Pelodiscus sinensis: one gene and its partner. The protein of the gene in region 1 purifies or fractionates together with the protein of each later gene. This does not show direct contact. Links are inferred from orthologs where the notes say so. Each region holds a gene or a part of one and is shown on either strand. Other genes may lie near its edges.

The links.
Region 2: the proteins of HSF1 (region 1) and HSPBP1 purify together in Homo sapiens (affinity purification with mass spectrometry; 5 studies listed by BioGRID and IntAct, counting the BioPlex papers as one, with this or other methods). This does not show direct contact. The link is inferred for Pelodiscus sinensis from reciprocal best matches to the Homo sapiens genes HSF1 and HSPBP1.

Annotation. Positions count from the first base shown.
Region 1 is NW_027465930.1:120,305-127,950, reverse strand, and holds the start of HSF1 (heat shock factor protein 1), read right to left. Parts: upstream 3,089-7,646; 5' UTR 2,966-3,088; coding exon 2,849-2,965; intron 1-2,848. Other genes in the region: ribosome biogenesis protein BOP1, read left to right, coding at 3,238-3,276, 7,493-7,646. UniProt on the Homo sapiens protein: Functions as a stress-inducible and DNA-binding transcription factor that plays a central role in the transcriptional activation of the heat shock response (HSR), leading to the expression of a large class of molecular chaperones, heat shock proteins (HSPs), that protect cells from cellular insult damage.
Region 2 is NW_027465977.1:226,332-233,443, reverse strand, and holds the start of HSPBP1 (hsp70-binding protein 1), read left to right. Parts: upstream 1-4,053; 5' UTR 4,054-4,068; coding exon 4,069-4,108; coding exon of another isoform or gene 4,109-4,115; intron 4,116-5,025; coding exon 5,026-5,152; intron 5,153-5,318; coding exon 5,319-5,478; intron 5,479-5,721; coding exon 5,722-5,935; intron 5,936-6,390; coding exon 6,391-6,615; intron 6,616-6,970; coding exon 6,971-7,112. UniProt on the Homo sapiens protein: Inhibits HSPA1A chaperone activity by changing the conformation of the ATP-binding domain of HSPA1A and interfering with ATP binding. Interferes with ubiquitination mediated by STUB1 and inhibits chaperone-assisted degradation of immature CFTR.

The DNA.
Region 1 (7,646 bases):
GGTCCTTTCATGTATTGGTAACTGGTTAAAAGCCAGGAAACAAAGGGTAGGAATAAATGGCAAGTTTTCCAAATGGAGAGAGGTAACTAGTGGTGTCCCTCAAGGGTCTGTACTGGGACCAATCCTATTCAACTTATTTATAAATGATCTAGAGAAAGGGGTAAACAGGGAGGTGGCAACATTTGCAGATGATACCGAACGGCTCAAGATAGTAAAGACCAAAGCAGACAGTGAAGAGCTTCGAAAAAAATCTCACCAAACCAAGTGATTTGGCAACAAAATGGCAAATGAAATGTAATGTTGAAAAATGTAAAGCAATGCACATTGGAAAACATAATCCCAACTACACGTACAATATGATGGGGACTAATTTAGCTACAACTACTCAAGAGATTTTGGAGTCATTGTGGGAATTTCTCTGAAAACATCCACTCAGTGTGCAGCGGCAGTCAAAAAAGCAAACAATGTTAGGAATAATTTAAAAAGGGACAGAGAAGAAGACAGAGAATATCTTATTGCCTCTCTATAAAACCAGGGTACATTCTCATTTTGAACACTGTGTACAGATGTGGTCGGCCCGTCTCAAAAAGGCATTGGAAAAGTTTCAGAAAAGGGCAACAAAGATGATGAGGGGTTCGGAATGGATCACATATGAAGAGAGATTAAAAAGACTGGGACTTTTCATCTTAGAAAAGAGGAAACTAGGGGAGGGGGATATGGTAGAGGTCTATAAAATCACGAGTGGTGTGGAGAAAGTGAATAAGGAAAAGTTATTTACTTGTTCCCACAATATAAGAACTAGGGGTCACCAAATGGAATTAATAGGCAGCAGGTTTAAAACAAACAAAAGGAAGTTTTTCTTCACTCAGAGCACAGTCAGCTTGTGGAACTCCTCGCCAGAGGATGCGGCGAAGGCTAGAACTTTAACAGGGTTCAAAAAAGAGCAAGATAGATTCATGGAGGTTGGGTCCATCAATGGCTATTAGCCAGGATGGGTAGGAATGGTGTCCCCAGCCTCTGTTCATGTGGAAATGGATGACAGGAGAGGGATCACATGATGATTCCCTGTTATGTTCCCTCCCTCTGGACATCTGGCATTGGCACTTGTCCGTAGACAGGACACTGGGCTAGATGGACCTTTGGTCTGACCCAGTCTGGCTGTTCTGTGAAGTTGGGATGCGTATCTCAGCTACAACACTACATTAGCTACAAGATACCAGAGTATGCAGCAGACAAACAGAAATTGGTAGAGAGCAGCCACACCTGCACAAGCTGTCTATTCCTCACACAAAGTCAATCTTCTGGATGACATTTTTCTCCCCACACTTGTCAACATTAACAATAGAAATTTAGGATTTCCCTTAAGACCTTAGATACAATACTGTAGTTTACAGACTGAGTTTCTGAAAAGAACATGAAACATTTAACTTACAGAAAATGCAAACTTTTGTGCTTGTTCATTCTGTTAAATTAAATACCAAGGAACGAGGAGGCATCCTTTCTTTGAACTCCAAGAAACATGTTGGCTGCCACAGAATTTCCTTTGAAAGGCTCTACTTCACTACTTCCGGACACTGTCACTTTTCATATAAAAGCCACAACTCTCATTCGCATGGAAGCCCTTGTTCATGAAGAGAACACAAAATATGGGATTTATCTCACCTGCTTCATAGGTTACAAAGCAAAGAGACCACTCTGATCTCCTATATAACACAACAGAGAAGTTCCCAAAGTAATGCCCAAAGCAGAAATTTAGGAAAAACAGCCAATCTTGATGTAAAAATTAGCCAGGATGGAGACTCCACCAAGACCCTTGGTAATGTGTTTCAATGGTTCATTAAACTCAGACCATGCCTACACGATTACTTTTGTTGGTATACCTTATGTTGCCTCGGGTGTAAAAAACCAGACTCGTGAACTACATAAGTTACACAGACAGGAACACCACGCCCAACACAGCTACCACACCTCATAGAAGTGTTTTTTTATGTTAATAGGAAAGCTCTCTTCTGCCACCATAGTGCAGCCACATAATGGATATTACAGAGACACAGGAGGGATATTACGGACACACACCTGCCCCACTTTAAGTTGGCTATTGCAGACATGGCCTCCCTGTTAATCATTTCCCATGTAGGTTTTTACAGATGGTGATCAAGTCACTCTTTCAACTTCTTTGTTAAGCAAAAAGACCGAGCTTCTTGAGTCTGTTACTATAGGGAATGTTTTCTAATCCATTGATCGCTCTCACAGCTCCTCTCTGATCGCTCTCCAATTTAACAACATCCTTCTTGAATTGAGGACACCTCAACTGGACACAGTAGTACAGCTGCAGTCGCACCAATGCTATACCCAGAAGAAAAACAACCTCTTTACTCCTACTACTGTTTAGGAGATACAGCTGTACAAAGGTTTGTCTACCCATGCAAGAGATACCAATTTAACTACCCACTGCTACAGCGTGCACCTAGTTATGCTGGCGCTTATAGTAACTCCCATGAAGAAGGGGAATAACACACACCAGTATAAGGCATCTCGACACTGGTAGGACACCAGCACTTGGAGTTGTATGGAAATAGCCATGATTACAAAGCTCCTCCGTGGAACCATACTGACTGGTTTAAAAAGGGTTTCGACAGGATCAAGCTCCAGCGATTACTCGCCGCCTGTGGGGCTCCCAGACCCGCCTGCAAGGGGCCGGTCTAAGCCAGGGGCCCGCACCGGCAGGAGCGGCTGCAACCCCATTTCCAAGCGGGCTCGCCCGGCGCTCGGCCTGACAGCGGGGTCCCCCTCCCGGGCTGTCCCGCGCGCCCTGCGGCGAGGAGTTCCGCGGGTGCGCCGCACTCACCGGGCTCCAGCAGATGAGCGGGTCGGTGTCGGGGTCCTCCACCAGGGTCCACAGCTTGGTGAGGAAGGCGGGCACGTTGCTGCCGCCCGCCCCCGCCGCCGCGCCCGGGCCCTCCATGCTCGCTAGCGCCGCCGCCCCCCGCCCTGGGGCCCGGCCGCGGCCTGCGCACGGCGCCCCGCGGAGCCCAGCATGGCCGCCGCCATCTTGGGACGCCTCCCGACCAAGCCCCCTTCCGAGCCAGCGGCGCGCATGCGCCGGCTTCCCTCGCCTCCCCCCCGCCCGCGACAGGCCCAGCGCGCCGCGCATGCGCGGTTTATGCTTTCGCGCGCGTCCGGCCGCCGGCCGTGGAGCTCTGCGCCTGCGCTCGCTGCCCGGCTGGACTGCCGCGCATGCGCCCGGCGCGCAGCACCTTGGGCGTTCCGAACGAGGTAGCAAGCGCGTGCGCCAATGGCTCCAATAACCTTTGACCCCTGACCCCAGTCCGGCTGGGCCCGGAACGTCTTTCTCAGCCGCGCGCCGCGGTGCGGCCTGGCCCGGGAGAGCGCTGCCTGGGGGGCGGGGCGCCGTGACCTCTGACCTCTCGCACGTGGTGTGAGGAGCAGCAGCGGCGCGGCGCGCGGGACTCGTGGAGCCGCCATGGAGCGGGCGGGGGGGGCGCGCTGCGGCCTGGTGGGTGACGTGGGGCCCCGCGGGGGGGGGCTCTGGGCCCCAGGGCTGGGGGAGGCTGTGAGGGGGGGCTCTGGGCCCCAGGGCTGGGGGAGGCTGTGAGGGGGGGCTCTGGGCCCCAGGGCTGGGGGGGGCCGTGAGGGGGGCTCTGGGCCCCAGGGCTGGGGGGGGCCGTGAGGGGGGGGCTCTGGGCCCCAGGGCTGGGGGGGGGCCGTGAGGGGGGGGCTCTGGGCCCCAGGGCTGGGGGGGGGCCGTGAGGGGGGGGCTCTGGGCCCCAGGGCTGGGGGGGGGCCGTGAGGGGGGGGCTCTGGGCCCCAGGGCTGGGGGGGGCCGTGAGGGGGGGCTCTGGGCCCCAGGGCTGGGGGGGGCCGTGAGGGGGGGGCTCTGGGCCCCAGGGCTGGGGGGGGCCGTGAGGGGGGGGCTCTGGGCCCCAGGGCTGGGGGGGGCCGTGAGGGGGGGGCTCTGGGCCCCAGGGCTGGGGGGGGGCCGTGAGGGGGGGGCTCTGGGCCCCAGGGCTGGGGGGGGGCCGTGAGGGGGGGGCTCTGGGCCCCAGGGCTGGGGGGGGCCGTGAGGGGGGGGCTCTGGGCCCCAGGGCTGGGGGGGGGCCGTGAGGGGGGGGCTCTGGGCCCCAGGGCTGGGGGGGCCGTGAGGGGGGGCTCTGGGCCCCAGGGCTGGGGGGGCCGTGAGGGGGGGGCTCTGGGCCCCAGGGCTGGGGGGGGCCGTGAGGGGGGGGCTCTGGGCCCCAGGGCTGGGGGGGCGGCGAGGGGGGGGCTCTGGGCCCCAGGGCTGGGGGGGGCCGTGAGGGGGGCTCTGGGCCCCAGGGCTGGGGGGCCGGCGAGGGGGGGCTCTGGGCCCCAGGGCTGGGGGGCCGGCGAGGGGGGGCTCTGGGCCCCAGGGCTGGGGGGGTGGTGAGGTCAGGCTGTGAGCGGGGCGCTAGGCACAGTAGGCTGGAGTCAGCGGGGGTCCGATGCCTTCTGCTCCCAAGCACGCCCAGCATGTGCTTGGTCACACACCCACCCGCCAGCCCCTCCAGTCCTTGTCCCACAGAGCTCCATGCTTGGCCAGTAGATCAAAAAACAAACAAACAAACAAGCACGTGGGGGGACCTCCTTTGAGCAAAGGGGGGAAGTCAGGGCTCTTCCTGCCTGAGCCTCTCAGCCACTTTCCTTGCAAGAGGTGAGGGTGCTCCCATAGTGGGAGGGTGGGTGGGGAGAGATTCCCAGACTCCTAGCTGGACCCATGGATACCAAGGCTGACTTACCTTTTGGGTTGAGACTTCTATGGTCTAGCCATGTGTGGTGTGTGCCAACTTCCTTTTTTTGATGGAAAGGAGTGGAGGGAGTATTTTCTGGTGTATGTACACACAGAACAAGCAGAGTCAGTCTTGCTTGTAGCTTTCCTGAGAGCTGTTTCTCTTCGCTAGTGCTAAGAGAGTTGTGGTGTGGTGGCGCTGTGAGCGCATGCGGAGTGTTTGGGATGCACTGCTGATAGTGTCTGTTGCTTTTCCCCATTCATTCGTAGAATCAGCAGCACACCTGTCTGGAAACAGATTTTTACCCTGTTCTAAGACCGACTTGCTCACAATTCCCATATTACACAATCCAGCCCTGCCTGAACTCCCTTTCCTGCCTGCCCTAACACACGGCTCTTTACCGCTGACCCCATGTGGCATGGGGCCAGGTATGAAAGAAGTTAGGTTAGAACATAAGAACGGCCGTACTGGGTCAGGCCAAAGGTCCATCTAGCCCAGTAGCCTGTCTACTGACAGTGGCCCGCACCAGGTGCCCCAGAGAGGGTGGACCAAAGACAATGATCAAGCGATTTGTCTCCTGCCATCCCTCTCCAGCCTCTGACAAACAGAGGCCAAGGACACCATTTTATCCCCTGGCTAATAGCCTTTTATGGACCTAACCTCCATGAAATTGTCTAGCTTCTCTTTAAATTCTCTGTAAACAGGTTGTACCCCCTGAATGTTCCAAGCATACCTTCACCTTTCTGCAGCAGTGCAAGAGGGCCCTAGCTGCACAAGGGGGTGATGGGCTTAGGCCATGAAAGGCTTTATCTGAGGTGGGATGTGCCGGTGAAAGCATGCCTTAGGACAGGGGTGGGAACCTTTTGTGAGTCGGGGGCAGCACGCCAGTATAAAGCAAAAAACAAAAAAGCCCTCACTGACATGGCCCCTGACTGAGGAGAAAGACTCTCCCCACATTCCCCTCACACACTAGAGCCTCGGGGAGCCCGGTAGATTTTGTGTGCTCCAGCCCTGTGCGGGGGGAGGAGGCTGGTGTTCCAGCACAGGTTCCCCAAAGCTGAAGGGAGCCCTGAGCATTGGGGGCTGGATCCAAGCAAGCCTCAAGTTCCTCACCCCTGCCTTAGAATCCTAGAACTGGAAGGGACCTCAAGAGGTCCTCAAGTCCAGTCCCCTGACCTCACAGCAGGACCAAGCACCATCTAGATCATCCCTGACAGGTGTTTGTCCAGTGATGGAGATTGCACAACCTCCCTAGGCAATTTATTCCAGGATTTAATCACCCGGACAGGTAGGAAGTTTTTCCTAATGTCCTCCTTGTAACACCCTTTTAGATACTTGGAGGAGACACTTCTGATGGGGAGGGAGGTCCACAGGAGATCCAGCTGTAGGGTTCATGCCACACGTAAGCCACTCCTGGGCCACAAATAAGCACTGAAAGATTCCGCATAGAGGGGAGTAATGGAAAGGTTAGATTCCAGGAGCCAGAGCTGGGATTGGAGGGCCGTTCAGTGGCAAAGCTGTGCTGTTATTAGGAGGAAGAAAATGAATACATTGGGAGGAAGAGAGAGTCTCATGCACACACTAGGGAGATGTGGCCTTGGTTAAACTACTCTAGGCTGGGTGCACACATGGTTGAAGGATTGCGCTCAAAGTGTAGTTGTCAGTGGTTGGACATCAAAGTGAGGGAATGGATTTGGGGGATCCTGCAGGGCTCAGTCCTGGGTGTGCTTTAGGATACTCTGTAGGCACTTTGGAGAACAGGATGAGAATTCAGAGTAACCTTGACAAATTGGAGAATTGATCTTACAGCCACAGGATGAGAATTCAACAAAGGCAAGTGCCCAGTACTACACTTAGGAAGGAAAAATCAAATGCACAGCTGCAAAATGGAGTACCTGGCTAGGCAGTAGTACTGCTGGAAAGGATCTGAGGCTTATGGAAGGTCGTGTACTGAGTAGGAGTCGTCATTAGGGATGTTAAAAAGCGGTTAACTAGGTAACCGTTTAACCGCTGAAAAATCTTAGTGGTTATGCACTGCAGGCTGCTGTGGGGCCACTGGCTGCTGGCCCCCCTCCTAGCTTCTACCCCTCTCCCAGGGAACTGGCTGCTGCCTGATGCCATGGGCTCTGATACAGAGCCAGCAGCACAGGGTGGCAGCCAGCTCCCCAGCAGCGGGGACAGGAGCTGGTCTGTTGCCATTATGGTAACCAGGAATCTCATGCTTCCTGGTTAGCTGTGTAAACGGCTATACTGTTCCATCCCTAGTGTTCTTGTGGAGCACGTGTGAAAGGCTGAGCTTGCTCTGGGGTGTATTAACAGAGCCTCTGCATGCGAGACTCCGAAGGGAACAGTCCCATGCTGGAGCGCTGGGTCCAGCTTTGGGCACACGCTTTAGGAAAGATGCGGAAAACCGGGAGGGAGTCTTTACTAGACTTGCTGGTGGCACGATTGCTGCAGTGTCCATCCACCCCTAGTGGAGACAAGCCCTTAGGTCAGTACGATGGGTTTGCGCATCATGTACGTGAACAAGACGTGCACGAAGACGGGGGCACTCGTTCAGCAGGTGGCAACGGTCAGAATGATACGCCCTGTGATGCAGTTTGCCCCGAGCACCTTTGCCTCAGCGTATTCAAAAGCAAGTTCTCAAGCTGGAGCTGTGACCAGGCTGGCCGGGGGAGACCGGCCGCGAGGGGTTCTGTGCTGTGATGCCTGTGCTCTCCTTTCAGTCCTCCGCTCTCCGCGCTGAAGCCATGGAGGAGCATGACCAGGGAAGCGATGGCCTGACAGACAGCGAAGAGAGCATCTACTCGGGGCTGGAGGATTCGGGGAGCGACAGCAGCTCAGAGGAGGAGGCGGCGGAGGACCAGGACAGTGGAGCAG
Region 2 (7,112 bases), on another chromosome or scaffold:
GTGGCTGTGATTGTCATGTGAACGTGTGAGAGTGCTGCGTGGTTGTATGATTGCTGTGTGAACGTGTGTGCTTGTTCTGTGCGTGCGGCTGTGATTGTCGTATGAATGTGTGTGCTTGTTGTGTGGTTGTATGTTTGTTGTGTGAACATGTGTGCTTGTGTGCGTGCGGCTGTGATTGTCATGTGAACGTGTGTGATTGTTGTGTGCATGCGGCTGTGGTTGTGAGACTGTCGTATGAAAATGTGATTGTGTGTGTGTGGCTGTGATTGTGAGACTGTGGTTGCATGATTGTTGTGTGAAAGTGTGTGATTGTTGTGTGAGTGTGGCTGTGATTTTTGTGTGAAAGTGTGACTGTTGTGTGAGTATGGTGGTGTGATTGCTGCGTGAGTGTGATCGTGTGATTATTGTGTGCATGGCTATGATTGTGCAATTGTTGTGTGCATGTGACTGAGTGCTCTGTGATTGCATGATTGTTGTGTGCATGTGGCTGTGATTGTTGTGTGACTGTGATTGTATGATTGTTGTTGTATGTATGGCTGAGATTGTGTAATTGGAGTGTGTGTGACTGTGAGTGTTCTGTGATTGCCTGATTGTTGTGGGCATGTGGCTGTAATTGTGTGATTGTTGTAGGTGTATGGCTGTGATTGTATGGCTGTACTAGTGTGTTGTGGCTAGGACTGATTGTCAGATGTATACGTTTGGGATTGTGTGATGGTTGTATGATTGTATGGCTGTAACTGGGTGATTGAGCCTGTGATCATGTGACTACTTGTGTGAATGTGAATTATTGTGACTATGGTAAGTGTAATTCGCTCTGTGATTGTATAACTATAATGCAGTGATCATGGCTGTCATTGTGTGGTTGTGGTGTGTGTGTGTAATTGTGTGTGTGATTGTATAGCTCGATAGTTGTGCAATTGCGATTGTGTGATTGTGGTTGTGATTGTAGTGTGTAATGGTAATGTGTGATGGTTTCTGTGATTCTGTGGCTGGAAATTGTGTGAGTGTGATTGTTGTGTGGGTAATTGTGGCTGTGTACGTGCGGTTGTGTAACTGTGGGGTTGTAACGACTGAGTTGCGGTTCACGGAGTCTGTGTTCGTATGGCTTGCTAATTGTGAAATCGAGGCTGTGATTGTCGCGCGCGTGTGCCATTGTGCATGTGTATTGTGATTCTGTGTGTGCCACTGTGTATGCGCCTGAGACCTGTGGGGGAGGGGCGGATTCGAGCACAGGGGACTGTGACTGATTGCCTGGGTGTGATTGTGTGTGTGGCAGTGTGTGTGTGAGACCTGCGGCTCAGAGACAGTCACACACACAGTGTGTGTCCATGTGTCTGACCCCGCCCCAGATATGGAACAACACTGGGCGCTGCCCAGCATAGCCCCCGCATCCCCCATCCCCTGCCCCAACCCCACCTCTCAGCCACCCATCCCCCACCCGCCCCATGAGACCCTCTGTGGCTGAGGGGGGGAGTCAAAGCCCCATTCAGGCAGCATCACCCTAGCCAACCAGTCAATGGTCACCCCGGGGGCAGATTGGAGCCAGCGCCCCCTGGAGGGGAAAGGCCCTGGGCCCCATTCCCCACCCCCCTGGGCCCGCTCGCTCTGACAGCCAACTCTGGTTGTGTGGGAGATTCGGGGCAGGGGGAGAAGATAAGAAGTAGATAGCTGGGGAGGAGTGCATGGGGAGACGGGAGGGTGAGATATGTGGGGATGGAGGGTTAGATGGGGGGTGCATGGGGAGACAGGGAGGGGGAGGGCTGTATGGGGATGGAGGGATAGATGGAGGGTGCAGGAGGGTGTGGGGGGGATGGAGGGATAGATGGGGTGTGTGGGGAGAAAGGGAGGGGGGAGGGTGTGGGGGGATGGAGGGATAGATGGGGGTGTGTGGGGAGACAGGGAGGGGGAGAGGTGTGGGGATGGAGGGATAAATGGGAGTGCGTGGGGAGACGGGGGGGTGGGAATGAAGGGGTAGATGGGGGGGTACGGGGGGAGACGGGGAGCTGTGTAGGGATGAGGGATAGATGGGGGTACATGGGGAGACAGGGGGCTGTGTAGGGATAGATGGGGTGCATGGGGAGACAGGGAGGGGGAGGGGTTTGGGGGAGATGGAGGGATAGATGGAGGGTGCATGGGGAGACGGGGGGCTGTGTGGGGATGGAGGGATAGATGGGGGTACATGGGGAGACAGGGGGCTGTGTAGGGATAGATGGGGTGCATGGGGAGACAGGGAGGGGGAGGGGTGTGGGGGAGATGGAGGGATAGATGGAGGGTGCATGGGGAGACAGGGGGGCTGTGTGGGGATGGAGGGATAGATGGGGGAGGGGGTGCTCCGGCTCTCATCTGGGCGCTCTAGGACTCCCTTAGTGTGAGTCGGCATGTGCTCCCCTCCCAGCACATCTGGGGCGAGGCCATTCAGCTGCGGGGGTGCCCTGGGGACCCCTGGATTCTCCCTCGGAGAACCTCCACCCCTCCGTGGCTCTGCCCGCTTGGCCGTTAGTGGCAGAGGCCATATGAGGCCGGGCCCATCAAGCCCGGCATCCTGGCTGGTCCCTCATGGAGGGGGAGGACCTGCCCCCCTCCCTGCTGGCTCTTCCCGATCTCGAATCCTCAGAGCTTGGCTCCAGCGCTGAGCCACAAACTCCAAGTCTCCCCCCTCGATCTGTGTCTGTGACACTCCGGGCCGTTCACCCTCCCCCCCCCCCAGGACCGGCCGGCTCAGGCTCTTGTCAGACACAGGCAGCTTCGGTTCCACCTCGGCCCCCGATTCCTTCCAGCCCAGCCGCGCCGGCCACAAACTTTCCCTTTACCCCTGGGAGCCAAGATCCAGGAGCCATCCTGGCCCCCCCAAACCCGGACCTCCTTGGCCTCCATCTTTCTCCAGCTCCAGGCCCCTCACTTCCTAACCTCTGTGCCACGTCAGGCTGGCACTGGGGATCGGCGTCATGACCCCGATTGTTTCCAACACCAGGCTGGGGCCAGTGCTGGCTCTGGGAGGTGCCGGGGAGGGGAGGGACCCAGCTGGAGTTTGGAAAGTGGGGGGGGGGAGGAGCGGCTTTCAAACCTCAGGCTGAAATTGCCTTAGCAGGTGGCTTTGTTCCACTGTGGGGGGTGGGGGATGAGTCGCTGCCTTGCTCCTCCCCCTAGGTCCCCCACAGCCGCCTGAACCCTCCCCCCAGCAAACCTCCCCTGGATCCCCTGCCAAATATCCCCCCCCCCCGCAACCCCAGCCCCCTGCTGCCCAATCCAACCCCACTGCATCCCCCCATTCACCCTCCCACAGCCTATCCGTTCTCCCTGCCCTGTACCCCCGTCCCCATCCCTCCACCAAACCAGCCCTCCCAGTTCTCCCCTGCCCAATCCCGCCCCCACCATCTCCCTGACCAGGACCAGGGCTGTGCATTGGCTTTTAAACAGCCCCTTGAAAACTGGTGCGCCAGACCCCACCCTCTCCCATCGGGGCCGGGCCCTGCAGCCTGCCCGCCTCCAAGCCTGAGCCCTGGGCATCTGCCCCCCTGCTCTGCTCAGTGGGGCCGGCCGAGCCAGATGCCTGGGGGAGCTCATGACATCCTGGGGGTCACAGGCCCCATCCCGGCGTCTCTGTCCGCCCTCCTGTCTCCCCACTGGCCAGGTCTTGCCCTGGCCCCTTGCCCCCTGCAGAGCGGAGAGCCCCCGCTTGGGGGTGAATTGTCCCTGGGTTGCCCCCTTGTCCCTCCGGAGCCTCCAGTTGTTCTGGGGCCTTTTGTGTCCCATTCACTGCGCCCCAGGTGGCCCCGGCCCCCCAGGGCTCCAGCTCCCCCCGCCGCTGTGACCCTCCCCCATCCCCAGGCAGCCACGCGGAGTCGGGGGAAACCGAGGCAGGCCCAGGGCGTAGCGACTTAGGACAGAAATGTCCTTCCCACACCCCCAGAGGGGCCCCGCAGCCCCCCCCCCAGCGCCCCGCCCCCAGCCCCCAGGCCCCGCCCCCTCCCGCCCAGCTCTCCGCTCCCGCCAGCAGGGGTCGCCCCGCCCGCGTCCCACCCTCGCTGCCCCGCCCCCTTTTTGGCTGAAACGTCACGTCCGGCCAAGATGGCGGCGCCCAGGGCTGGGAGTGGGAGCGCGGGGCGCGGTAGGGGGTGAGAGCGGGGGAGGGGCGGGGTGTCGGGGGCAGAGGCAGTGGGGGAGGGGCAGTGACTGGAGGGGGAGGGGCGGGGTGTCGGGGGCAGAGGCAGTGGGGGAGGGGCAGTGAATGGAGGGGGAGGGGGCGGGGTGTCGGGGGCAGAGGCAGTGGGGGGAGGGGCAGTGACTGGAGGGGGATGGGGCGGGGTGTTGGGGCAGAGGGCAGTGGGGGAGGGGCAGTGAATGGAGGGGGAGGGGGCGGGGTGTCGGGGGCAGAGGCAGTGGGGGGAGGGGCAGTGACTGGAGGGGGATGGGGCGGGGTGTTGGGGCAGAGGGCAGTGGGGGAGGGGCAGTGAATGGAGGGGGATGGGGCGGGGTGTTGGGGCAGAGGGCAGTGGGGGAGGGGCAGTGAATGGAGGGGGAGGGGGCGGGGTGTCGGGGGCAGAGGCAGTGGGGGGAGGGGCAGTGACTGGAGGGGGATGGGGCGGGGTGTTGGGGCAGAGGGCAGTGGGGGAGGGGCAGTGAATGGAGGGGGATGGGGCGGGGTGTTGGGGGCAGAGGCAGTGGGGGAGGGGCAGTGAATGGAGGGGGATGGGGCGGGGTGTTGGGGCAGAGGGCAGTGGGGGAGGGGCAGTGAATGGAGGGGTGTCGGGGGCAGAGAGCAGTGGGGGGAGGGGCAGAGAGCAGTGGGGGGAGGGGCAGTGACTGGAGGGGGGTGGGGCGGGGTGTTGGGGGGCAGTGGGAGGAGGGGTGGCTGGGGGAGAGCCGCGAGTGACCCCCTACGCCCCAGGAAGGGGGGTGTGTCTGCTTTGGGAGCTGTTGAATGGGGGATGGGAGGGAAGCTGAGAGCACCATCCCCCGCCACCCTCCATACCCTGTGACTCTCAGCCTGGCTGACCCCCCCCCCCCCCCCGCCTGCTGATCTAGGTTCTTTGCCTCCGCCCAGCGACCCCTCTCTTGGTGTCAGCGGTGGGAGCCGGAGATCGGTGATACCCCCGCCCCTCCCCCCGTGCGCGGACACCGCATCTGATAACGCCAGGACGCCCAGACCTAGGTGAGGAAGGCGCAGCTTTGGGGTTACAGCCGGGCGCCAGGGCTCCCTTTGGCTCTGGGAGGGGAGTGGGGTCTAGTGAGTAGGCTGGAGGGGAGGCTGCTGGCCTCTTCTGGGTTCTCTCCCCAGCTCCGCTGCTGACTCCTGTTGTCTGCGCCTTTCTCTGCAGGGGGCCTGGTCTCTGGCCCTGCACCGCCCCAGCCATGGCCGAAGGGGGCGCCGGGGGGAACCAGCCGCCACGCGAGCACCCGCGGAACCTGCAGGGGCTGCTGCAGATGGCCATCACCGCCGGCAACGAGCCCAGCCAGTTGGAGCCCATGTCTGACGAGGTGCCCGGCTGTGCTGTGTGGCCGCCAGGACCCCTGACTCCTCTCCTGCTTCTGGGAGCGGGGTGGGGGCTAGTGGTTAGAGCAGAGGACGGGGGTTTCTGGGTTTCTCCCCGGCTGTGGGAGCGCAGTGAGGCCTGGTGGTTAGAGTAGCAGGGGCTGGAGCCAGACTTCCTGGGTTCTGCCTCTGGCTTCGGGAGGTTTGGGTTGGGGCCGGGCGCTGACCCCCTCTCTGCCCGCTCCCAGCGGCGGCAGTGGTTGCAGGAGGCCATGGCTCAGGCGTTCAGGGGGCAGCTGGAGGAGGTGGAGCAGATGAAGGAATGTCTGCGGGTGCTGGAGGCCATGTCCCCGGGCGGGGACGGTGGCGAGTCCTCGGAGCCAGCTGAGGGCGACCCCTCGCGCCAGGCCAGTGCGCTGGAGCTGCTGGCTGAGCTGTGTGAGAACCTGGACAACGCCGCAGGTACGGGGGCGGGGGGGTTCTCAGAGCAGGGCAGATTCTGGGGGGTACTTGGAGCAGGAGAGGGGCACTCGGGGCAGGACTGGAGGGAGCTGGAATGGGGGGGGTGCCTGTGGCCTGAGAAGGGGGAGGATTGCTGTGGCTTTGGGGGGAAGGCAATTGGAGGTTCTGGGGGGCCTGTCCCCAAGGCAGGCTGGTCTCTGAGATGGGGTCCCCTCATATCAGGGTGTCTCTGGAAGGGACCCAAACCTCCGAAGATGGGGGCAGAGCTAGGTGAGGGTGACCCCAATAAGGTGGGCCTGGCATAAGGGGTGCCCCGCCAGCACTGCCTGAGAACCCTATATGACACCAGAGTCTGTGTGTGCTGGGGAGGGAGATGTGGGGCAGCAGAAGGACCCTCCCTTGGGTGGGGGGGACTCCGTGACACCTGCCGTCACGCCCCCTCTTCCCCCTCCCAGATTTCTGCAAGCTGGATGGAATGCGGCTGCTGGCTCATCGCTACCTGGAGCACCCTGTCCCGGACCTGCGCTGGCGTGCGGCCCACCTGGTAGGCACCTGCGCCCAGAATGTGCCCAAGGTGCAGGAGCAGGCGCTGGCGCTGGGCTGCATGCGCAAGCTGCTGCGGCTTCTGGACCACGACGGGGCCGACCTGGTGCGCGTCAAAGCGCTCTTCGCCATCTCCTGTGAGTCCTGCAGGGGCGCCGGCTCCTGGCCAGTCTGGGGTGGGGATGGAGCCCGGGGCCTGGCCACTCTACGGGGCTTTGGCTCTCATCTGGTCCGGGGGCGGGGGAGGTGTGGGGTGCTGGGCCTGCCCCTTCTAGGGGATGCCCCCCAGAAAGGGGTGAGAATGGGGCCCTTTCCCCTCCAGGGGGCGCCAGCGCCACAGCCATAGAGAGCATTGGCCCTGTGGTAGCAGAGGGGCCAGGGTGGAGCCTTGCTCGCCTCTGCCCCTGGAGGCTGGGAGCGGTGTTGCAGCGCGGGGAGGAGCATGCATGTTGCTCTGGGTGAGGCTCTTTCTGCCCTTCTCCTCGGCGTCAGGCCTGGTGCGCGCCCAGGAGGGGGGCCTACAGCAGTTCCTGCGCCTGGACGGCTTCTCAGTGCTCATGCGAGCCATGCAGAGCCCCGTGCAGAAGCTCAAGGTGAAATCCGCCTTCCTGCTGCAGAACTTGCTCTTGGACAA